Lonchura striata: one gene and its partner. The protein of the gene in region 1 interacts with the protein of each later gene in a pairwise test. Links are inferred from orthologs where the notes say so. Each region holds a gene or a part of one and is shown in the gene's direction. Other genes may lie near its edges.

Region 1 (11,838 bases):
GTGAAACAGTGTCTCTGCTGCCATGAAACATGTAGCTTACAGGAAAGACAACATGCATATAGCACTATAAGTATGTAATGTACTGTGATCAACACCAAGTGCTCCTGATTTTTAATTATTGTGATAAAATAAACTACTTAGTTTCAATAGAAAAACACTCCTAAGTACTGTAACTCAATATAGATGAGATTGAGATTTGGTGTACCTTGGTTTAATTACATCTTGCTTCTTTCAGATGTGTTGGAAAAGACCTTCAGAGGCTTAGGCTATGATGTTCATTGTCACAGGTATTTAAATATGAACTCCATGAATCAAAAATTGCTTGAAGTTGCAAGGTGGCAGAAGCACAAATATTGTGACAGCTTCGTTTGCATATTGGTCAGCCGTGGAAACTCTCAGAGCATCTTCTGTACGGACCACACCTTTTCTGGATTCCCTTTGGAACAAATAAAGAAATACTTTACAGCAGACTCATGTCCTGGACTCCTAGGAAAACCGAAGCTTTTTTTTATTCAGAGCTATGTTGTGCCAGAAAATGAGCAAGAATATACCAGTCTGTCAGAAGTTGATGGGAATGCTGAGAATATCAGTTCTAAAGTCACGATTCCCCAAGCAGCAGACATCTTTTGGAGTCATTGCAAAGTGGATGTGTCTAAACTAGAACGATCCTCAACTTCATCCTCATATTATCTGCGTTGTCTGGCTGAGCTACTCCATAATCCTTATAAAAGGTAAATTAAAGTAAGAGTAAAAAAAATCATCCTTTTTCTATGCTAGCTTATTTTCATGGAGAATGAGAAACCTTAAATTTCAAACCATCTGGCCCTGAAATATGTTTTCTTGCAGTGTCATAGTCAAAAGACAAGTATCCTCATAAAATTGTGTAGAAAGGTAGCCTAAACTAGGAATGAAATTTCTGATTTTGCAGTATAAAGTTAAAGTGTGTTAAGGCATTGGGGTTTGCAGAGTAAGAAGGGAAGAACCTGTCCTAGATAATGTATGTCAGTGCTTTAGATGGGATTGGAAATCTTCCTTCTCCAAGATAAACAGGCTTCTGTTAAATTGAGGATTGCCATGTACCATTAAGATGAGCTGTGCTTGCAAATGTAAACAGTCAGTACTTAAGTTCAGGACAAAGGCAGTAGAGAGGGAAGGATTTTCTACATTTCCAAATTTAATTAACCATTTTTTCACAGAGCCAATTGATTTCCAATAGGTAATCTTGAATTTAAACTGACAGAAAACTTTTGTCTATTAAAGAGATCCAAACGAATCTGTGCAAAACTCAGAGGCATTTGGATATATAACTTAGCAACAAAGATTTTATAACTTACCAACAAAGTTTTTATTTATATAGCTGATCTACCAGGGAGCTAACAACTGTTATTCAAGGTAGTTACAGTGCTAACATTTAGTACCTTTTTACAAGCCCTAAAGCCCTGTCATGAAACCACAGATCATCATGTCAGCATAATCAATGTCACAGCAATGATTTGGGTCATAAAAGTTTGTCTCAAAATTTGTGTGTGTGTACAGCCTTGTGTGTTAGAGATTTTACCTCTGCAGTAGAGACTGAAATTACAAACTTTCTCCATGCTGAGTCTGAAGTTATCTTCTCTCTTGTGAATTCTTAAATGGTGTCTTGCTTCATTCTCTAATGGAATGCTTTTGATTTTTTTGCTGCAGGAAACGCTGTATATTGGCTATCCATATGGAACTGAACAAAAAAGTTTATGATGGGAATATGACCGTTGACCCAAGCCAACAATACTCACTGCTGCTCCAGCACACACTGAGGAAGAAACTTTTTTTCCCCACTTAACTGCTGTTAGAAAGTACATATCTGAAATTATTAACAAGAAGTACCCAGTAATGCCAGAACTTTGCTGACAAATTCTGGCTTGCATGCCTCTATAGACTGTCAAAACAGAAGGGAGAGAGAGATCTCCCCCTTTTCAGTAATCAGGATTCCATACTTTTATTTATGTGTTATTTCATGTATATCAAAAGTGCCTGTTGCTGCCAAACACAGGAATTTACAAGCATTTTAGTGTGCTAAGACACTAGATTTTGTATTTTAATACTGTAGTCTCTGAAAGCTTGGTTGAGAATAGTAGCTATTGTATAGCAGTGCAACATACCTTGTTACTGAATACCCCGGGTAAACAGAGTGTAAAGAGATCTAAACTGTATAGCTGTTGGGTTTTCCAAGAAAAAACAAAATATTTTTATTGCTTCATTTGTAGTTTTTAACATACCTTCTAGCAGTTAATACTTAAATAATAAAAAGCCAGCCCAAACCACTGAAACACATTGATTACTTTCCCCTGCACCTAGTAGTGGCAAATGTCTGAGGAAAGCATTCCTACCCAGTAATGCCAGATCTTTGCTAACAAGTTCTGGCTTGCATGCCTCTATAGACTGGCAAAACAGAAGGGAGAGAAAGATGGTCTTTTCAATAATCTGGATTCCATCTGTTTGCTGTATTAAAGATTGCATTGTTAGAACTGTCCACAGCACATGGGGGTTCTGTGTTAATAAATGAGACAGTCTGCCATCTTTGGGCCAAGTATGTTTTCTGCTGATGCAAAATGAGTCTACATGTGACAGGACATTACAGTAATCTGCCACACAGTTAAAAAAATGTGAGATTTTGGCAGATGTCTTGTGGAAGCTGAAACATGATTCACACTCATTGTACCAGGCATAGTTGTAAAAAGAGACTTTAAAATATTTCAACTTAAATGTAGTATGTAGCAGCCATGGGCCTTTAAAACTGGATTATGTTAAACACCCCGCCCTTACCGCATTTGCTTGTGAAAAAGAATATGCCTCTATTAACTCATTTTTTTCCCAAGTGCTCTTGTTCTTGTGAAAAAAGAAAAGGGAAAATTGTCCTAATTACAAAGCTTTTTCTCCAATGTAGCAGTTGCTTAACTAAAAGTTAACTGCCTTAAAGTTCAGTTAGCCTACTTGTATAACAGTATAACCTGGATGGGTTGTATTGAAGTTTATTGTCACTGAACTTAGTGACAATAAAGTAGGCCACTTGTAAATATTTAATTTTTACTCCTAATATACTCCTATGCGGGAAAATAATTCAAGGTCCTGCTGTGCTTTGCTTGGTTTCTGTTTAAATTTTTAATGGAAAAAAGGAAGGATACAGAATGACAGATGTGGAATCTTAGGAGGTACTTCCTCTGGTGGTTGGTAGATAAACTAAATGGTAAAACAAATGTTTCCTGTGCTTGTAGAAATATGCTGTCATTTCAAATTTCATATATCTAAGTAATATTAATATATGTGATCTTCTTCACAGATTAACTTCACTTTCCCATTTCCTTTACTAGCTTTTGCATTTGACAAGCACTTCTGCTACCCCATAGACAACCAAAAGCAGAGAGAATGGAATCAACAGGAGGCAGATGAGGAAAAGAAATGTGAAAATTTTAAGCAGGAACAAGAAGGGGAATGGTAGGGAGCATCAAGAGAAGAACAAGTAGATGATTTGGATGAGAAATACAGTATCAATATTGGAAGGAGAAGAAAACGGGAAAAAGGAAGTGAGAATAATAGTGGTTGTCTTTACAGACTCTAATGATGTGGTGAGTTGGTTGATGTTTTGTGGGCTGGTTGGTTGGGGGGTTTAGAGTGATGCTAAATGCAACTGTTTACTTAAGATATTAGTAGTAGAATAGATTCTGCTTTTACAGTTTTGTGACAAATTTGGTTTGGGGGTTAAGAAGTATATATGTTCTTTGCCTTACTGCAAGACAGTAAGTCCATGTCCCTTTCATTAATAAATTATGCAGAAATGCTGTTTTGAAAACTAGAGGCTCATGTAATTAACCCTTTCAGTGGAAAAGGAAGGGACACTGTGCATGGCTGCTTGGTTGGAAGTGGTTATAATCCTCTAGAGTTGTGGGGATAGACATGTATTGTGCAGCATTCATGGGTGTCAGATACTGATTTTTTACACTGATCCTCTGTAGATTCCCAAACGTAGCCATACGCAATCTATAATCATTCATCTAAGCAGTATTTATTGCCTTGGCACCTCTTTCAAGTGTGGTGTTCAAGCAAGCTGATCCCCTGTACCTGCTGCATAGTGAGTATTTATGCAGGACTTCTGTGATGGCTCTTCTGTCACTTCTCCCATAGCTTATAGGATCACAGACTCATAGAATAAGCTGAGTTAGAAGGGACCCATCAGGATCATAGAGTCCAACTCCTGGCCCTGCACAGGACACCCCAAGAATCCCGCCATGTGCCTAAGAGTGTTCTCCAAAAGCTTCTTCAGCTCTGTCAGGGTTGGTGCTGTGACCACTTCCCTGGGGAGCCTGTTCCAGTGCCCAGCCACCCTCTGGATGAAGAATTGAAGAACCTCTTCCTAAATTCTACCCTAACCCTCCCGTGACACAGTTTCATTTCTCAAGTCCTGTCAGTGGTCACCAGAGACAAGTGGTTGATACCTCTGCCCCTTTGCTTCCCTTCATGAGGATGTTGAAGACTGCAGTGAGGTCTCCCCTCTTCCTCCCCAGGCTGAACAAGCCAAGTGAGCTCAACCCCTCCTCAGAGGGCCTCCACTCCAAAACCCTTACCAGGTTTCTGTGTCCCTCCATACACATGAGGGGTCCTGTCTCTTCTTGCTGTAGTGCACACATAAAATTTGAGTCTAGAAACGGATGCGGGGTGTGGACTGCATCAAGCTGTCCCTGTACTGCAGGTAGTGAAATGATCTCAGGTTAAATGATCCTTTAGCCAAAAGAAAAAGGGGGAGAGAATTTTGGATCCATCATGAGTTTAAGGTGTTAGCACAGGAACATAGAGAAAGCAGAAAGCAAACACTAGTAACACTTAAATCTTCAATACAGCTGGTGAAATTTCGTGGTCTTGGACTGCCAAAATGTCTAATTTTCAGAACATACTGTTGGAGGAGATAAAACAAGTTACGCTGCTCCTGCATTGTCAGAGGTTGGAATAAGGCTGTCAGAGTCAATGCTTTGGCACTTAATTACAGTTTTGGTTTCTGATAACTGGAAGAAAATTTCTTGTAGTTCTGTATGTGCTCCATATATAGAAGGTGATGTCTTTAAGTGGCTCAGAAGCTGTATGCAAGAGGCAAGAGATTCAGTGGTGTTTTGTACCAGACTTGAGTTGCATGGTTTTTCTCAGCCACCTACACTGATGTGGCTGAGCCGTAAATTGAGCTCATTATCCAAAATAGAATTTATATTCAAGAGGATGTTACTGTGGTATAACTTGTAGATGGAGCATGTTGTATGGCTGATCTCCCCTTTCAACTCTGCATAAGAAGTAACAGTGGCTCCTATTACATATACCTGAGTCAGAGAAGCTTTTTATGGGAGTTTCTGAGAATTATTTTCTGTTTTCCAGAGTTTTAAGTTTCTGACATGCAGAACAGTATTGCTGAGGAGTATTGCTGTCTGTGTGGTTGATCTATATTCAATTTAAATTAAATCTCCTGTACTGAATTATTTGACAGCTTTTCTGTGGCTGGTTTAAATTATGTCTATTTTTCAGCTTCTGTATTAGAAACAATAATAAGACACTATGACTGGATACAAATGCTCAGTTTCATGGTGATATTCTGAATAAAATTTCTGTATGCAGTCAGACTGATTGTCCCTGTCTCCCTCTAGGCCATAGGATAACTCTGAAATTCTTGGTCTGTTTATCTTGCAGACCTATATAACTTGTTAAATTAGGCTGTGAAGTTTACAGTTCTATAAAAACGAGCTGACATAATAAAGGACAGCAAGACTTACAGTTTCAGCAGGTAACTCAGCTGCTCTCGGTGTGTTGGACAACTTTTGGCATGAACAAGGAGACACTTTTCATCCTGCCTCCACTGACGCGAGGTTGTGGGGGATACAGATGCTGAAGGCCCCAAGGAGCCTGCACTGAGCAGAGTCTGCTCACCTTCCTCCTCCTCCCTCTACTGCTGCGGACACGGACACGCAGCCCCACGTACAAATGGTGTTGCAGCCCTCTCCCGCAAGCGCTCCTCTTCAAGCTTCCTTCCAGCGGGAAACAAACATTCAAATAATGTGCCTAAAACGTTCGAGGCCTTTTTGCGATGTAGCCTGCTTTAACATGGCTTGGCAGCAAAAGCGAGGCGAATTACGGGTCACGTCTTACACTTCGTACCCCGGGCGCTGCCTGAAGGCTTTTCCCGTTCCCGGGCGCGGCAGGGCGGGAGGGGGCGGTGCCGCCGCTCCTGGTGGAAGCCTCGCGGGCCCTGGCAGCCGCGGCCCGCTCCTTCCCTCGCACTCCCCACTCCCACATTCCGCCCTGCTGCTGGCGCTGCCTCCCGCCGCCTGCTCGGGCAGAGCCGGGACACGCCTCCCCCGCCCGCGGCGAGCCGCAGAAGGGCCCGCGCAGGGAGCCGCGAGCCGCCGGCACGGCTAGCTGCCGGGAGAGGGATCGGGACTGGAACTCGTGTGAGAGGTACCAGAGCGTGGGGCTGAAGGGGAGAGGGCTCGCAGGAAGGCTCCGTCGCTCGCGTTGTGCGGTGGCTCCCGGCTGCGCGCTCCTCGGGGCGCTCCTGCCCACGTGCGCCGGCGGGCCCGGCTGCGGTTCGCGCGCTCCGCCTTGCCTCGGGCTTAACCCGCGGGGCACTGCTCCGGCCAGATACAAAGCTTAAAGCAAAGGTAATTTTACAATTCCTATCCTGCTTATTTCATACGATTTTCCTTTTCTGAGGCGATATCTGAAAGCATACATCAGAGATGCGGACTGGTTACTTTTCTGTGTCGATGCCCCGAGGCAGCTGTGGATATGCGGGTGAGCCGCTCCAAGCCTGGGCAGCGAGCAGATCCTGCACTGATTGTGCTCCCCCTTGTAGAAACCTTTGCTTCTAATTGCTATAAGCAAAAAATTGAAGATCTACCAGTTAGAAGGCACTGGAGCACCTTCTTATCTATTTAACCTTCCACGGGCAGAATTGAACTGCCTAGGCTCCATGGAAGAAGTCGGTGTAGTAGAAAGTCGATTAGTCTCTGTTAAACCTGAGTAAGAGAGAGTTGCTTGTGCAGAGCCTATTTAGACTGAGCATTGAGTGCTATTACATTTTAACTGCCAGTTACTTGTAAGGGAGGCTTATAAGGGGTTTTCTATGCCAACTGTCAAATACAATCCGGAAGCAAATTACAGCTGGGAGTGGATGGTTATTCCACAGCTTCTGTTTGGGTGTCAGCCTTGTAACAGAGGAACACCTTCCTGGTACAGCCAGAGAACAAGCTCTTGGACTGCAGATCAAGGAATATGCACAAACTACTGTGCTGTCTCCATTAATAGTTGTAATAAGTTACTGCAGGGACTCTTCCCCATTACAACAGAAAGACGCAAAGATCTGAATGTGGAAGATGTTCAAAAGAAAAGAAGATTCAGACCTTGAGGTCATCTTGCACAGTTTTTTGCTCAGAGCAGGGCTAACTTCAATTATAGACCGGGTTGTTTAGAGCTTCTGCCAGATCTGGTCTTTCTGTGTTCTGTGTTTAGACAAGGAAGTAAATTTCAAATTTATTTAAAACCTTTATTTATTAAAAGATAATTCAGGGCTTCCAAACAACCATTGGATAAAATTTTAGTAGAAGGATTGCTGTATTGAAGATTTAAGTGTTACTAGTGTTTGCTTTCTGCTTTCAGTCAGAGAGAAGCTGTTTCAGCTGTTGGTTCCAGCAACATGGAGAATAATATCAGCTTGAAGTTCCATCAGCAGCTTTTTCTTATTAGTGAAAGTCTGGTGACTGAAGATGTAGCAGCTTTAAAATTTCTCTGTACTGACTTGCTCCACCTCAGTAGACTAGAAGGTGTGAAGTTAGCAACAGACATCTTCAAGCTCCTTATGGCTCAAGAATATCTGAATGCAGAAGATACTTTCCTACTAGCTGAACTCTTATATAGAATTAGATGTCACTCCTTGCTCAAGAAAATTGGTTACACCAAGGAGAAAGTACAAGAACATCTGAGTGAGAAGGGAAGAATATCTCCATACAGGTAAGCTTGCAGTGGAATTCTCTTCCCTCCATTACTGCTATCTATGCCATACTGTTTTCTTTTCCATTTTTAAATTCTTAGATTGCCTTTGGTTTTTATGCCATCTTCTGTTCCACTTTTATCTCACTCTGTCTCTGTTACAGGCAGATGCTGTATGAATTGGCAGAGAACATCACCAGTGACATGTTGAAGGAAATAATTTTCCTCCTGCAAAACCATCTTCCAAAGGGATGGATAATTCCTGTATGTGAGGAGTCAAATGAGCCAAATGGTGGGAAGGGAAGAAGGAAGGCAGGAAATAGAAGAAAAAGTGTGAGCAGTGTTTGGCAGAATAGAGCATAATATGCAACTAGGCTGGTTGTATTCATAGGGATAGCAGGAAGGAAGATGTTGACAGGCAAGAGTAGAATTTGGTCCCTCGTGCTAAGGTCAGTCACTGACAGTTCACTGTCTAGCATCAGAGTATAAAAAGGTGACAAATCAAATCTTTGCCCTGCTTGAGCCATATGCAAGGGAGATTGATGTCCATATGTCATTGGTAGTTTCACAGCATTGAAGCCTTCTTGAAGCCACGAGCCATTAATACGGTTTGGGTGAATCTGTTTAAACAAGACCATACCAAATAAAAACACAACCAGTGGCTTCCATGAAGCAACATTTCTGCTGTAATGGTGATGTAAAATTGACTGGTCCTTGTTGGTAGGGAGCAAAGCAGATAATAATGTGATTGTTTGAGACAGGGCTGAGAGGCAAGCTTTGATTTCTAAAGAACAATAATTATATTTTACTCTCTCCTTTTGGCTGTCAGTCTGCTTTGGATTTGCTGACTTTATTGGAAAAGCAGGGCCTTTTAACTACAGACAATGTAAAGATACTGGAGGAGGTCTGTATGACTGTTTCACCTGATCTCCTGGAGACAATAAACTGCTACAAAAAGGGAAAAGGTGAGAAATTGATTGTCTAGGAGCAGGTTTGCTAAAATGCAGGAAGTACTATGGGTCTGGGCTACTGAACTTAAGGTCATATGTGTGTATTGCTAAATGGGAGCTAGAGTGGCATAAATCTGGCATAACAACTCCAAGCCTGCATAATTTCCTAGCTGAATCCCTGAAATAAAGGGATGTGCTGGAATATCTGAGCAACCCAGAGCACATACAGAACAGGGTGGGAAACTGAAAATCTGCTGATAGTTATGTCTCATTTGTCCATTTCCCCACTAATAGTATTGAGATGATGACAACTGTCCTGTAAAAGGCACTTGGGGATCTGTGAATGTGAATCTGGCAAGACACACTGTGTGGGTTTATGTGTGTCTGATACATGGGCTATGAGCAAACAAATTATTTATGGTTTTATATTTTTAAAAAATAGATTTATTATTGATTAATGAGAAAAATTGACAACTTCAGTAGTAAGAAGGCATATTCTTTTTAAATACTGGTAATTTCTAAGATGATTTCCAGATGAAAAATTTATTTGAATGTCTTGGAGAATTTATCCTTGTACCATGGGTATCTTTAATTTGCAGTATCGATACAAATAGAAGCCTTGCCTTTGTTACAAAAATACATCTAATAAAAATAAGCAAAAAATAGATCTAGAATATCAGAATAGATCTATTGAACATGACCATGCTATTTTGTATGGAATAATTATTTCTTTCAGTGAAAGAGTATTTCAAATACAAAAAGTGATGTATTGTAGCTAAACTCCTTTTTGTTGCATCCACAAATATTGGATTTATCTTCATAAATACCTATGCTGGGGTTTTTTCTAGATAACAAGAAAACTAATTTTACACAAAGCTTCTCTGAGCTAAACCTGGAGCTGCGTGGAGAATTCAGCAATGTAGAAAATGAACCCAAGGTTTGAGACAATCTCTTAAATCCTTTTTGAATACCTGCGGGTGTGAGGTTTTCATCCTCCCTTGAATGACATTTATCATGCAAGGGCTTGTGAAATATCAGGCTCATAAAGTTTCTTGAGTTGACTGATAAATTTGAATGTTTCAAAGAATATTTTAACCTTGGAGGCCAGAGATTTAGCAATATTGAAAGGTATCTTGTAGGCAAAATGGACATAATACCTCTGAAGTGATTCACACATCAGTGTTTATCTTCCTGATAAAGGCAAAACATTTTGCATTTTGGTGATGGCAGTAGAACGTGCAAGACACAGAGACAAATGGAGTTTCACAGTTCTCACTTTTTGCATCTGGTTTCAAAACAGCCTCAGGGCATCTTGAAATTAGAAGTCATAAGGGGTAGCATGCAAAGCCTTTGTTAGAAGGATTAAAAGGAGGCCAGAGTTTTTAGTAAGCTATTGCAGAGGTCTTGGTATATGAGAAAAGATCCTTTTTGTGAGATCCCCTCTTACAGGCCTTTATGTGCACTCTTTAACCATAGCAGTGTAACCATTGAATTCTCCCTCTGGCCTTTTCTTTGTGACGACCATGGATATTGAAAAAGCAAGTTGCTCCATTTGTTTATAGCCATTTAATTTCTTGAAGTTCTGTGCTGTAACATCTTTTCATCACCTGATGTTCAGACTGCTGCAAAGCTGTTGAAGGAACTTGGAGTGCTTCCTTCATTTTCTCCTACTAAAATGCACAAAAGGAGGTGTGTATTGCTCTCTAGTGAGGAGGAAGGGACTCTGGTGGATGGAGTTTTTTATTGCAACCCAAGGTTGGACTTAAATTCATGTTACTTGAAATGTTGGTTCTTTTCAGCTTTAAAAATGCTTTTGGTTTTGTTTTCTTTTTAAAAGTGGGAGGTAATTTTAAATCTTAACCAAAAAACTTGTAGTGTGATAGGTTTATGTACTTCTGAGATTGCTGTTCTGCTTCCATCCTTTTCCAGTGGATCAGTATGAATCACCTAGTCCAGGTATTTATTACCGTTCTCAAAAAAAAGCCAACTCAGATGTCTAACTTCCCATAGTTTCAGTGTGATCTCTCTGCTATTAAGCTGAAATACTGTTTTTGGCATTGGAAGCAGTTGGGGTCTTCTGTCCCCGTCACCAAACTCAGAGTTTGGCTGCTAAATCCTGCCTCTTGCATACAGATGAGAACCCAGATGCTAAATCCTTCTTCTGCAGTTTGACAGGATGGTGACAATGTGCTTGGAGATTCACTGCTGTTTTTTGAGACATGTTAAGGAAATATGAGTAAGTTGAATAAATTAATTGAAACTGTAAGCTTTTTTCTTCTCCTTTCTACAGCCTGAAAGATTGAGAAGCTACAAAATGGATGGGCCACACAGAGGATTTTGTCTCATTATTAATAATGTTAACTTCGGTAGTTCTCAGAGGATGGGTTCTTACAAAGATGCTGGTAAGTTACTGAAGTGAGATTTTTGGAGGATCTCTGTTTCCCCAAGTGACTTGATTATGTAGTATTGCCCTATATTTTAGTGTCTATGGTTAGTTAATATTCTAAAAGAGTGAAATGTTAGACATGTGTTAAATTATGTCGTTTGTGTATCGTGGGTAGGAGAGGATAAAGGACAAGTAACCACAGGGGTTTTCTGTTGGATTATTCTTGAATAATTTTAAGAATCACTTTTTACTTATCCTTTGTCTATAGCTATAGTAAAGAACTAAAACTAAACTAAATGAAACCATCATTCTACCTAATATAATGCAAAAATCCATACTCAAGCAACTCTGTGCATACTTCTTACTTTGTTCTGCTTCCTCTATTTATTTCTTATGAATGGAACTCTTAATAGTCAAAAGTGCAACTGGAAAATAATGATGTGAGGAAGATTTTGAAAGATCTTTTCTGAAACTGGGGAAGAGCAGATTCTTTGTGTTTTC
Region 2 (11,857 bases), on another chromosome or scaffold:
ATGCCAGAACTGCTGGATACTGCCTCAGCCACGGTGGAAAGTAACAAGCACTAAAGTACATGAGGCATGGAGTGGACACACTGAACAATGGAAAAGGCTGTCATCTGAATTGCACTTTCATTTTCTGAACACAGTCCATACTTCACACTGAATGGAAAAGGATTGACAGGAACAAAATGCCATAAGCACCAGTCAATTAAAATAATACCATACCAATGAAGCAAATCTTTGGCAGAACCAAGAGCAATAGTCTAAACATAATTGTCTTCTTATGGCTAATGTATCTTACAGACTTAACATTCTGCTTACACACTGTTTTGTGTAGAATTTTAAGCAGTCCATAAAGCCCATCAGAGATGTAATACATGCAGGTAAAAAGCAAAATCTGTGTCATTGCTTTAGCCTCCTTTGTCTGGGCCTGTACGTATGGGTGTCAATGTCTCTTCACACTAAATATGTATATATGCAAATGTGAGGCACAAATACATGCTTTCCAGGTCTAACAACTTCCCATGATGAAGTATATAAATATCACTTCTGCAAAGGAGAAGAATGATTGAAGCTTCCTCAGAGAAAATGAAAGGTACCTGCTGTTCCTTCCAGGAGCCAGCAGAAGCTGTCAAGGGCAAAAGGAGAAGCTGAGAAGTTTGCTCTTTCAGCAAAGAGCAAACTCTGCTGAACACCTTGCAAGGTCCAGTTTTTAGGTTTGTGGGGTGTCACTAAAAAGCTGGCGTCAGTATAGAGAGACAAAGCATGTTGATTCACAACAGGTCTTTTTACACATACACCTGTCAGAACTGCCATGTGCATTTTAAATCAGGATGATCTACTCACACATGTCTGTACTCCTGCTTGCATTTGCACGCCACCTTCAACAACTGAAAGGTCTATATTCTGGTTATTTTTAACTTTATTACACTAAAAACTACATGAAGGTAAAATGGAGGCCTTATGTCAATGTCCCCATGACCTCCTCTCAAGCATAGTTAAGCCATGATGCAACCTGGCAGCTCTTTTAGCCCCCTTCCATTAAACTAATCACAGCTACCAGCAGTCTGTCAAATCAAGTGCATTATTTCTCCCTACAACTTTGCTTCATGTCTGGACTTCAGTCTTCTTCTGAGCATCCTTAATGGCAAGTCTATCCTGAAACAGAAACCACTAGCCAATGCCTAGAAAAGATTTCATTTTCACCTCTGAAATGCTGATTTTCTCTAATCCTCCCTCAGAATATTTATACCCTGATTGCTTCACCAATATTTTTTTTCTTTCAGAAATCTGCACCAGAAATACAGACACACACTCTGACAAATAGGATAGCACAGAGCAGTTAATCTATCTACTCCTCCTAGAGTGAAAAAAATACTTTCAAGCTTATGCTTAAATTATACAATTTTATTCACAATGTGGCCATCTTCAGCCTACTTCTTACGCTTAGACACTTCAGCAACACTAATATGAAATTGTTACACAGTGGAAAAAAAAAATTCTTGTCCTTAATTTGTCGGTTAATTAAGTTGTCAATGGAAGTTAATATTTGTTTAACTTCTGAAACAATACTTTGAATATTTCACACTTGGAAAGTTGATATCACTGTTCCAGTTAACAGTTAACTGCATTCTTTTGGGAATGAATGCAGCTGCCAGACACCCGATAATGAAATATATACAGCATCAGCGATACTTTCAGTGCAGCAGAACTTCTGGCTCTATAACACTTCATTCATTGGAATGATGTGATGCCAACCTCCTCGCTCTCCTAAACAAGACTGTAATGGGACTTATCTGACGTGGAAGGGTAAAGCTGTCACACACTGAGCAAAACGAAACCGGCACCCTATCCACAGTTTCGGAAGCACACTGGGATGGGCGGCGGGCTGGAGTGCCACGGACTTTTTCACTCGCGGGGCAGCCTCGTCCGGGAGGGGCTGGTCCTGCGGCTGTCCCTGAGCAGGGCAGGGAGAGCTCAGGGCACCGTCTCTCCTCCTTCTCCTGGATCCCTGCACTTCCCTCGCGCCCCGCTCCCGCAGCCGCGGACCGGCAGCCAGCGCCCCCGCACCTCCCTGCGTCCCGCCCGGCCCGCCCGAGACCGGGGCGGCCCCGCGCCCGCGCTCACCTTGTTGGTGAAGCTGGAGGCCAGGTAGAAGAGGCAGAAGGCGAGGCCGCCCGCCGGCCTCTTCAAATACATCCGTCAGCGCGGGCGCGGAGCGCGGCGGGCGGGGGCGGCCATCGGCCGGGCCGCGGACACGTCGCTCCGCGGGCGCCGCCCCCGCGGGGCCGCTGCTGCCGCCCGGCGGCCGCGCCGCGCCCCGCCGGCCGGAGCGGCCGGAGCGCCGCAGCCCGGGCACCGCGCGGCCCCGGCGGCAGCGGCCAAACGCGGCCGGCCGGGCAGGGAGGACATTGTCCCCTCTCCTCTGCCCTTGTGAGACGCCCCTGGAGTGCTGCGTCCAGCTCCGAGGCACTCGGCACGGGGAAGACCTGTAGAAGCAAGTGCAGAGGAGGGACGCAAAGATCATCAGGGGGCTGGAGCACGGCTCCTGGGGAGTCAGGCTGAGGGAGTTCGGGATGTTCAGTCCGGAGGGACCTTACACCAGCTTTTAGTGCTTAAAGGGGACCTGCAAGAGAGCTGCAAAGGGACTTTTTACATGGGAATGTGGCGGAGGGGGGGGGGGGGGGGGGGAGGGGAGAATAGCTTTAAACTGAAAGAGGGCGAATTTAGACTAGATGTAAGGAAGATGTTTTTTACGGTGAGTGTGGTGAGATGCTAGAACTGGTTGTGGATACACCATCCTTAGAAGCGGTCAAAGCCAGACTGGACCTGATCTAGCTAAAGACGTTTAGCAGGATGCCCTGCCTTGGAATGTGGTCAAGCAACTTCATCAATGCCCTATTTACAAGGCTATCAGTCCAGTGGTGGACTGAGAGAAGGCATCAAGATGGTTTTGGTGTTGAATTATGACAACACTAGACTGACACATCAACCCAAATTAATATCCTGACAGTGAGGTAAAGATTTAGCAGACAAGGTGCTTAGCTGACTTGGAGATATATGACTGGTAGTCAGTCACTGCACACTATAAAAGTCCAGTCCATTTTCTTATGGTTGGGTTCTTCAAACATATCCCTTCTTGAAGTGTGTATGAAGATTCCTCCTTTGGGTTGGGACACCCAAAAATTACTCCTTAAGGCTGAGTGAGTGAAAAAGATTTTGCCCATGGTCATTGACATGGGTGAAAGACATCCTTCTCTGCTTTAAAAACTATTTCTTTTTTGCTAGTTTTAATAGAATTGCTTTAATATAGTTGCTTTGATAGAGTGCACTGTGCCATCCTATTCTAGTAGTTTTATCTTCTATAGTGTGTAGTAAATAATTCTGAGTAAGATCTCTTTGTCTAATAATTTACCATAATGAATCATTTTTATATAAATAGATCTGGTTTTCCATAATTTATCCTACAGGACAAAGCTGTACAAAGGTTCAATCACACCTCTATAATTTCTTAAACTTAAATCACCAACAGTCTGAGGCTAAGATTGGATCCAGCTGCACCTTGGCTCTTCTCTGAGAAGGAATTTAGAAAGCAAGGGAGTCCTGTCTGCACATCATGGCTCAATGGGAGGGATCTCTACTAAGTTTTGTCTGAAGACCCCACTCACACTCATGAGAAGAAGCCCCTGCTTATTGCAGGGGGGCTGGACTAGATGGCTAAATTGAATGGCCCCTTCCTACCTTCTATGATTCTATGATTCACTGGTGACGTGTGAACCGTAAATATCCCAGGCAGGTCAGAAGCAGTGAAAGACACGCCCTGTCAGGTCATGGTTACTGGGTGATCTTTTATTACGGCCTAGGTAAGCCTTGTTTTTCCCAGTCCTGGATTTAGCAAGGCCCTATCTTTGCAGTTCTTACCTTGACTTTGCTCAGGTAACACAAAGTATGGGGCTCTCTCTGTACATGTACACCCTCTTTTTAGAGGACAGAGCAAAGCAGCATAAGTAAGGAATTGTTTATGAGCATGGCTTAAACTAGGGAGGGAGGGAGGCACTAAGTGGTCAAATCCAGGCCGTAAGATGAGCCTGTCTAACCTGCTGCATTTAGCCTCAAAAGACAAGGTCAACAGAGTGCAACAGCTGAACAGCTGACCAAGATAAATTCAAGTGTTTTGGTGAATCAGACATCATCCTATCTGGTTTGTAAGGTGGTGGTCCAACAAAGACATTCGATTTCCAGTGCTGAAATGTTTGGTCCATCCAGGTTCATGGAGATCACTGATAAGACACTGTAATGGATGTGTTAGAGATGTCAGGGATACAGAATTTCCACTGTGCATCTGTTTATGTACAAAGTGAGAGCACCTGAGAGCACTTGTTTATGTACAAATGTGAAATGTGTATTTGGCAAACAAAGGCACACTTTGCATTGTGCCACAAATTCAGCCTGTAAAGCTTTAAAAAAGAGTAAGTAAAGTTCATGGATATCTACAAAGACTAATATAAGTATGCAGTAAGAGTACTTTTGACATTTTATTACAGTGGGCTATCACTTTCATGCAAAATATTACAGTGATATGTCTGAGCTTTTTGCAGTATTTCTTAGTAGAAGTGGGACATATATATCATCTTGGGCAATGATATATTTTCTTACAGCCAAATACAGAGGCAGGTATGAATTCTTGTACACCACTTACACTGAGGGATTAAGAATGAAGAGGTAAATTTCTATAAATTTCTTAACACAATTCAGTTCAAAGCTTGATCTATTCACATGAGAGGTCATGGGATCATGTCCTAATCAGGAAATATTTAAGAGACTAAAATAGAAAACTTATTTTTGAAAACTAAAAGCTTAATAACAAGACATAGGAATATATAGTTACTGTTCGTGTCTTTCTGAATCAAAACCTACCAAAACCCATTTTCTTAATCAGTGCTTGTACAGCTGTGCAAGAATAATGATTTTAACCAGGGCAGCAGGACATTGCTTTGATATTCTGCTCATATATAAAACTGTTAATTTTAGACCAAGAAGATAGAAGGGATCATGCAGTAATCTTCATATGCCAAAAGGCAGTTGCAAAGGGAACAAAATAATCTCTTTTCACCAGGGTGAAAAGTGCAGAGAGGGTAAGAAACATGCTGGTACTGTGTCACCAGACAAAGCCACTCTTGCCAGCATTTAGCAGTGCTGTGTGTCATTGACCTGACAATCTTAAAGGTCTTTTACAACCTAAATAATTCTATGATCCTAAAATGCCTTCGTGGCACAAGCCTGTGTCATGCCTGCAGGTTGTGTGTTACAACCTAGGTCCCTACCCTCTTCCAAATGGTATGTCTTTTAGCTGGGAACTTTCTGTTGTAGTGAACTCTGGAACCAACTGTCTTAGGAGATCATAACGTGTTACGTCATTGCAGGTTGCTAAGGACAAATAAGAGGAACTTTGGCCAACAAAGCTGATTCTTGCATGGCTGAGAACTGATATGAGTGGCCTTACTGGGCCTGCCTGGCAGTACAGGCTTTGCTAGATGTAAAACAGGGAACTTACTCTGAGCAGGCTGGGGGATTCCTTACCACAGAATCCCTTACCACTTCTGCCCTTGCAGAAGTGCAGCTTTCCTAGGCTGGTTTTCAGATTATCAACAGTGACAGCGCATTTGTCTGACTGCAGACAGATACCTTCAACAGATGGTGATAAACCAGCCAGAGGAGATTTCTAGGTATTGCTTCCTTCCTTTACGGAAACTTGCCCAAGTAGACCTAATATGTCATAGCAAAACTATAATTTCATTGCTGTCCTGGAAATAGGTCATTTTAGTCACAATACTGTTTTCCAGATAAACATTACATATAAAATTGAGATATAAAAGGCAGCAGGTCACATACAAAGTATTTAAATTTGGATCTACAGTGACTTACAGAATTGGGATCAGATTAATTTGTTTGCTTATGGTTTGGTTAATTAGTTGTATTTTCTCCTGTTCCCTCAGTTACTTCCTGAAATAAAAACAAATGCTAAGTATTTCATTTCACATAGTCAATTAGGTTGGAAAAGACCTCTGAGACTGAGTCCAATCTATGACCAAACACCAAGTGGACTAGAGCATGGCAATGAGTGCCACATCCAGTCTTTCCTTAAACACCTCCAGGAACGGTGACTTCATCACCTCCCTGGGCAGTTCACTCCAATCTAATCGCCCTGTCGGTGAAGAAACTCTTCCTAATGTCCAATCTAAACCTCCCCTGGCGCAGCTTAACGCTATGTCCACTGGTCCTGTTACTTGTTGTCTGGGAGAAGATGCCGACCCCAGCTGCTCACACCCTCCGTTCAAGTGGTTGTAGAGAGCCATAAGGTCACCCCTGAGCCAACTTTTCTCCAGGCTAAAGACCCCCAGCCCCTCAGCCGCTCTTTATCAGACTTGTGCTCCAGGCCCTTCACAGTTCCGTTACCCTTCTCTGGATTCCATCCATTTGTTTTGCCGCTGGTTTACTGTTTGGTTTGGTTGGTTGTTTTTGTTTTTTTTTTTTTTCCCTCCCACCCTTGGTTCCCTTGGTTACTTCCCGAGATAAAAAACCAGCGTCAGCTATTAAATTTCTCCCTTTCGCAGCCCGGCGCTGCCCCTCAGCCGCCGGGCAGGGGCGGCCGGGCGCGGCTCCGCACGGGGCTCCGCCGGCGCGGCGCGGCCGCCCGGTGACATCACCGGAAAGGCGGGCCAGCCCCGGCCAATGGGCCGCCTGCCGGCCGCGGGGACCCGCGGAGGACCCGGAAGGCTCCGCAGTCGCGGAGAGACGCCGCTCCTGCCGCCCGCCGCTGCGTGCCCGATGGACGCGGTGGGAGTCGCTGCCGCCGCGCCCGACGCCGGGCCGGGCCCCGCCTGGCAGAGCAAGGTGAGCGCAGTGCCGGCGCCGCGGGGCCGCGCCCGACGCTGCCCGCGCTCCGGGAGCTGGACGACGAGGAGGAGGAGGAGGAGGAGGATCGCTGGGGCCGTGGGGAGGGCGCTCGAGGTGGTGCCGGCACCACCAGGGTGGCGGTCACTCGGCAGAGCGACCCCAGCGCGGTTTGCTGCTGCCGGCAATGAGCTCCCTGGTGGAGAGAGCTGTTGTGCCAGCCCGGTAACTGAGTTGCTTCCCTCCGAGGGAGTTGGAGCCGGGTGAGCTCGGTTATCCTGGCGGTAGGCAGCGAGTCCCGGCTTGCTTGGATTTGCCGTTCCCCAGCCCCCGCCTCCCGAGCGAGCTGTTGTATCCCTGTGCGGCTTTGAGATGCCATGTTTTACGGTGGCTGACCTTTCAGCGCTCTGGGAGCGGGGGAGGAAGCAGTGCGTAAGCCATTGCTGTTGGGCATTCCAAGAGAAGTTTACATAGGTTGTGTGTCTGTTTGTTTGCAAACCTCTTGGGGAAACTTTACCCCTGTCTCCAGAGGGTACCGACACTGACAAACTGACTTTTTTTCCTTCATTAGTAAGTGACTATCAACAATTTTTCAACGCCGGTTCTCCCGATTGAGTTTATGAAACTACTCTTTGAGTAGTTCCCCAAGTATCTATAGAAGAGCCCTTACAGGATTACATGAGCTTATTTTGGAGCCAGCGATAGCTAATAATCCTGATTATTGTGTTGCCGCTGCACAAGTCTTGCTGACTTGAATAAAATGTTTATTTACAGTGTCCGTGGGGAGCCCCTAGCACAACATCAATATCATGTTCTCTTGCTGATGTAATGAGTGAAGAGCTGGCAAAAGAATTGCAACTGGAAGAAGAAAATGCTGCTTTTCCTGAAGTGGTTGCGTAAGTTTAAGTCCTGGAGTAGTGATCTCCATAGTTGTGATGCCATCTTCTCTCTTGTGCATTTTCTTACAATGTGCTCAGTGCATAGCAGTATAGTAAATGATTTGCCCATTCCCCCTAACTCTGCTTCCTCAGATTTTCTTCAGTGAAGATGGCTTCCTCAGCTAAAAGTCTTCCTTAGATTCTCTTCCCTGATGCTCTTCCTTCCTTATTGATGTTTTCTTTGTATTTTCTGGGGGTGTTAACACAGTCTGTAAGCTGTATTTAGAGAAATGTTTTTTTCCTACTTTTTTAGGAACTCTTTTCAACAATATACAATGTTATTTTGAGAACTGTCAGGTATATCACCTGTATCTTCCCACTACCTGAAAGCTCTAAACAAAGGCTAAGAGATTACTAGTTCTAAAATTCTACAATTTTTGACTATCTTTCCTGTGAAGCAGAACAAGGCAACAATATTTGGGATGCTTTAAACATATAAATAAGTATACACGTGCATACACCTGTATGCCTTCTTTTTTTTTTTTTCCTGAAGAACATCTTAAAAATAGAGCTTAATGCTTCTTGCAGAATGGTAAACAAGCAAAAGTTTAAGTAAAATTTACATTGTTAATGAGTGGCAAAGAGAAATGAAGTAATGATCTATTAATATTTTGTGTTGGCTTGGAGAGGAGGCAGACAGCTGAGATCCATTCCTTTCTGTCAGCTCTGCATGAAGTCTGTTGTATAGAGTGGGAAAGCAGTATAAAGCAGTGTTTCTGCTTAGATTGTTGTGTTTAGTTTTTTTAAAATTCCTATTTTTATCTAATGTAGCGCTGCTGAAGGACCATTTATTACAGGAGAAAATATTGACACTTCTAGTGATCTAATGCTAGCTCAGATGCTGCAGATGGAATTTGACAGGGAATATGATGCGCAGCTTCGGCGTGAAGAGAAGAAGATCAATGGAGATAGCAAAGGTACCTTCATCAGAATATTTTTGCTTTGGAGCTGTTTTTGGCACTTACCTTAAATTGACAGAGCTGTGAGGAAGTAGCAAATCCCTAATAATCACAGACATGCTTATTTGTTTTGTTTTTCAAGTTTCCATATCCTTTGAAAATTATCGGAAGGTGCATCCCTATGACAGTGACAGCTCAGAGGATGAGGTTGATTGGCAGGATACCCGTCATGATCCATATAGAGCAGGTATGGGACAGCTTTAAACAATAGAATTTCTTCAGCCAATAGACCTGAGAGTATGACAGAGTTAAATTAGGTCTTGTTTTAATGTAAGGAGAGACACCAGCTACATTTAAAATCAGGTCACTTCAATGGGAGGTGTCAGCAGGAGGTTGGGTGGGTAACTTCAGGCTTCTGTCTGCCAGTGTATTAGCTTCAGTGGCTGAATCTGGCAAAATAACCAGCGTACATGGGAAGTACTGTGGGATGTGCTCATCTGTCATCCACGTTTGGATGAAATAGTTACATATCTTCTGCACATGTTGTAGCATGCCAGAAATGGGTCTGACACCCCATAGAAGACTGAGAAGTTGTAACATAGCCAAAGGAGCTGTCACGCTTAGGATAGAGGAAGACTGTATTAAGATCATATAATTGAAGTAATTTACTCTGTTTTATAAATAAAATTATATTACTTTTGTGGATGTTGTGGGATTTCTGTAAGCATTGGTTATGTTTGTTTAGGTGTAAAGTTTGATTTCTTTTTCTCACTGCGGGCAGATAAACCTACTACTACACCAAGAAGGGGTTTCATAGGAAAAGGAAAAGACATTACTACGAAACATGATGAAGTGGTATGTGGAAGAAAAAACACTGCTCGCATGGAAAATGTAAGTGAAAACTTAAGGAAACTTATTTTGTGTGTAAAACTGGAATGCTGCAATTCAGCCAAAGAGCTAATGCTTGTCCACCAGTACTGCTGGGTAGGGGGCTGACTTCTGTTTTTTCCCTGTTGGATGATAGCAATGCACTCTTTGCTTTATTGGTTATTCACATTGGCAGTTTGAGTTTTGTGGGTTTTCTCTTTAAAAGTAGTTTGTTATTGAGCAATTCAAGAATGTGCACAGAACTCTCTTGGGAAAACAAAACTATCAGCAAGTCTGTCACACAAGCAAATAAAACACAAAAGCTATTTTTGAAAAGCACAGATGTTGTGCAATCTCTCTTCTAATTAATTTTTTCTGGTAAGCCAAGTAACTTATTTTCAGTCAATTCCTTGACTTACAGCTTTTCAGTTTGTTTATCTGTAGTACATACCTTTAATCTTTTTTAAAGTAACTGGTGCAACTTCTGTAAATAAGGTAATGCTGCAAGTACTACTTTTGCAGGATGTTAGGTAATCTCATATCAATTTGGGCAGAACTTTGAGTTCTGAGTTTAAAGCAGTGGGTTTTTTAAGCATAGTGACAACATTGCACAAAGTGGGTTTCACATAGGTCCAAATCTATCCCAAGTTTTTCCAAATCAGAATGAGAAATTTGTTTGTGCCAACTTTTGGCATCTGCTAGTAACAATGCTTAAATTTCTATTATTTCTGCTCATAGTTTGCACCTGAATTCCAAGTTGGGGATGGAATTGGAATGGACTTAAAGCTGTCAAATCAAGTCTTCAATGCCTTAAAACAGCATGCATACTCTGAGGAACGTCGAAGTGCAAGGCTCCATGAGAAGAAGGAGCACTCCACTGCTGTATGTTTTTAATCAAGTCTCTCGATCTACTCCTCATCTTGTGTAATAGCTAAACGCTGCTGGGAAACTTCTTGCAACATTCCATTTTTAGTAAAACAGCTAAGCAACATTATGTTAATGTTGCTGAAAGAAATAATATCAGCTAGCTCCTATTAGAAAAAGGCTATTTGAGCTACATTACTGTGAAAAATATGTTGAAGTAAGAGCAAGCAGCTACTGTTTTTTTGTCTTTGTCTTTCTAAACTTGTCTCTTAATCTGCTATGTTGAATAAACTGCCTGGAAGTTATTTATAGAAACATTCAGAGGACTAATCCCCTGCAGTTGAACCATATGGCTCCAAATATCTGTCTTCATAACAAGGTTCAGGAGGATGAGGTGACCAACTGGCATAATAATTTAGAAGTTTACTTGGTAGACTGTATGGCTGAGTTTTAAGTAGGGCCTCTGGTAATTCCTGATGTGGACTTGTTCAAATTTGTGTGTTTTGCTTTGCTTTATTGTTACTTATATCAAAGAAATATAATGCTTAGGATATTGTGATTCATGATTTGTAAAGGCTTCTTGAAAACACTGTAGAAAGTGCTGTCGAGCCACAGTCTATATGTGCAATTAGTAAGATATTCTATGTGCTGCACAGCTGATGAGATACTAAGATTATTAAATCAATCCTGGAGCAGATTTGCTTTGCTTCAAATGTTTATTTTGGTTTGGCTTTTTTTTCTCCCCTTTGTCAGTTGAGATAAATTTTATTAATACATTATTATTTCCACTTAGTTGAATTCTTGTGGTATATAAATATTCTAAACTCATTATAAAGCAAAGAATTGCTTTATTGAATTGAGTATTCATGTCTTGCTTATTAATCCTATTCATTTCTTGTAGGAGAAAGCAGTGGATCCTAAAACACGTTTACTTCTGTACAAGATGGTCAATTCTGGGATGCTGGAGACCATCACAGGCTGCATCAGCACGGGAAAAGAATCTGTTGTTTTTCATGCCTATGGAGGAAAGTGAGTATATTGTTTGTTACTGATGATTGTTTTAAGTATGAGAGATGATTTAAAAAGCAGAAAACACAAAAATATTTAAACATCTGCACCTTTTTTATTTCTGAGACTTAAAGGCTGTATTCGCGTATACGCAGATAATAATAAAATCTGAAAACCAAATTATACCAATCATAAAGTAAAAGAATCCCTGCTTTCCTCCTTGGAAGTTACTAATGAATGGGGACAGATCCACCATGCCTTTCTGTGGAAAAATATATACTCCTTTTATAGAAAAGAAATCTTCAGATTTTTGAGAGATTCTTTGCACCAACCTGCCCTAGACCACAGAGCTGTCGTGAGGATCTTGGGCTACCTGAAGGATGTCTTTCCATAGAGATT

Evidence for each region.
Region 2: the proteins of caspase-10 (region 1) and RIOK3 interact in binary tests that used the Homo sapiens proteins (3 or more experiments, as listed by UniProt). The link is inferred for Lonchura striata from reciprocal best matches to the Homo sapiens genes CASP10 and RIOK3.

The regions. Positions count from the first base shown.
Region 1 is NC_134610.1:27,085,065-27,096,902, reverse strand, and holds the start of caspase-10, read left to right. Parts: upstream 1-6,354; 5' UTR 6,355-6,674; intron 6,675-7,671; 5' UTR 7,672-7,708; coding exon 7,709-8,022; intron 8,023-8,165; coding exon 8,166-8,265; intron 8,266-8,830; coding exon 8,831-8,966; intron 8,967-9,799; coding exon 9,800-9,888; intron 9,889-11,241; coding exon 11,242-11,353; intron 11,354-11,838. UniProt on the Homo sapiens protein: Involved in the activation cascade of caspases responsible for apoptosis execution. Recruited to both Fas- and TNFR-1 receptors in a FADD dependent manner. May participate in the granzyme B apoptotic pathways.
Region 2 is NC_134603.1:47,147,446-47,159,302, reverse strand, and holds the start of RIOK3 (serine/threonine-protein kinase RIO3), read left to right. Parts: upstream 1-6,728; 5' UTR 6,729-6,816; coding exon 6,817-6,882; intron 6,883-7,656; coding exon 7,657-7,778; intron 7,779-8,591; coding exon 8,592-8,737; intron 8,738-8,861; coding exon 8,862-8,966; intron 8,967-9,500; coding exon 9,501-9,610; intron 9,611-10,324; coding exon 10,325-10,468; intron 10,469-11,351; coding exon 11,352-11,479; intron 11,480-11,857. Other genes in the region: SLC35D4 (UDP-N-acetylglucosamine transporter TMEM241), read right to left, coding at 2,116-2,187.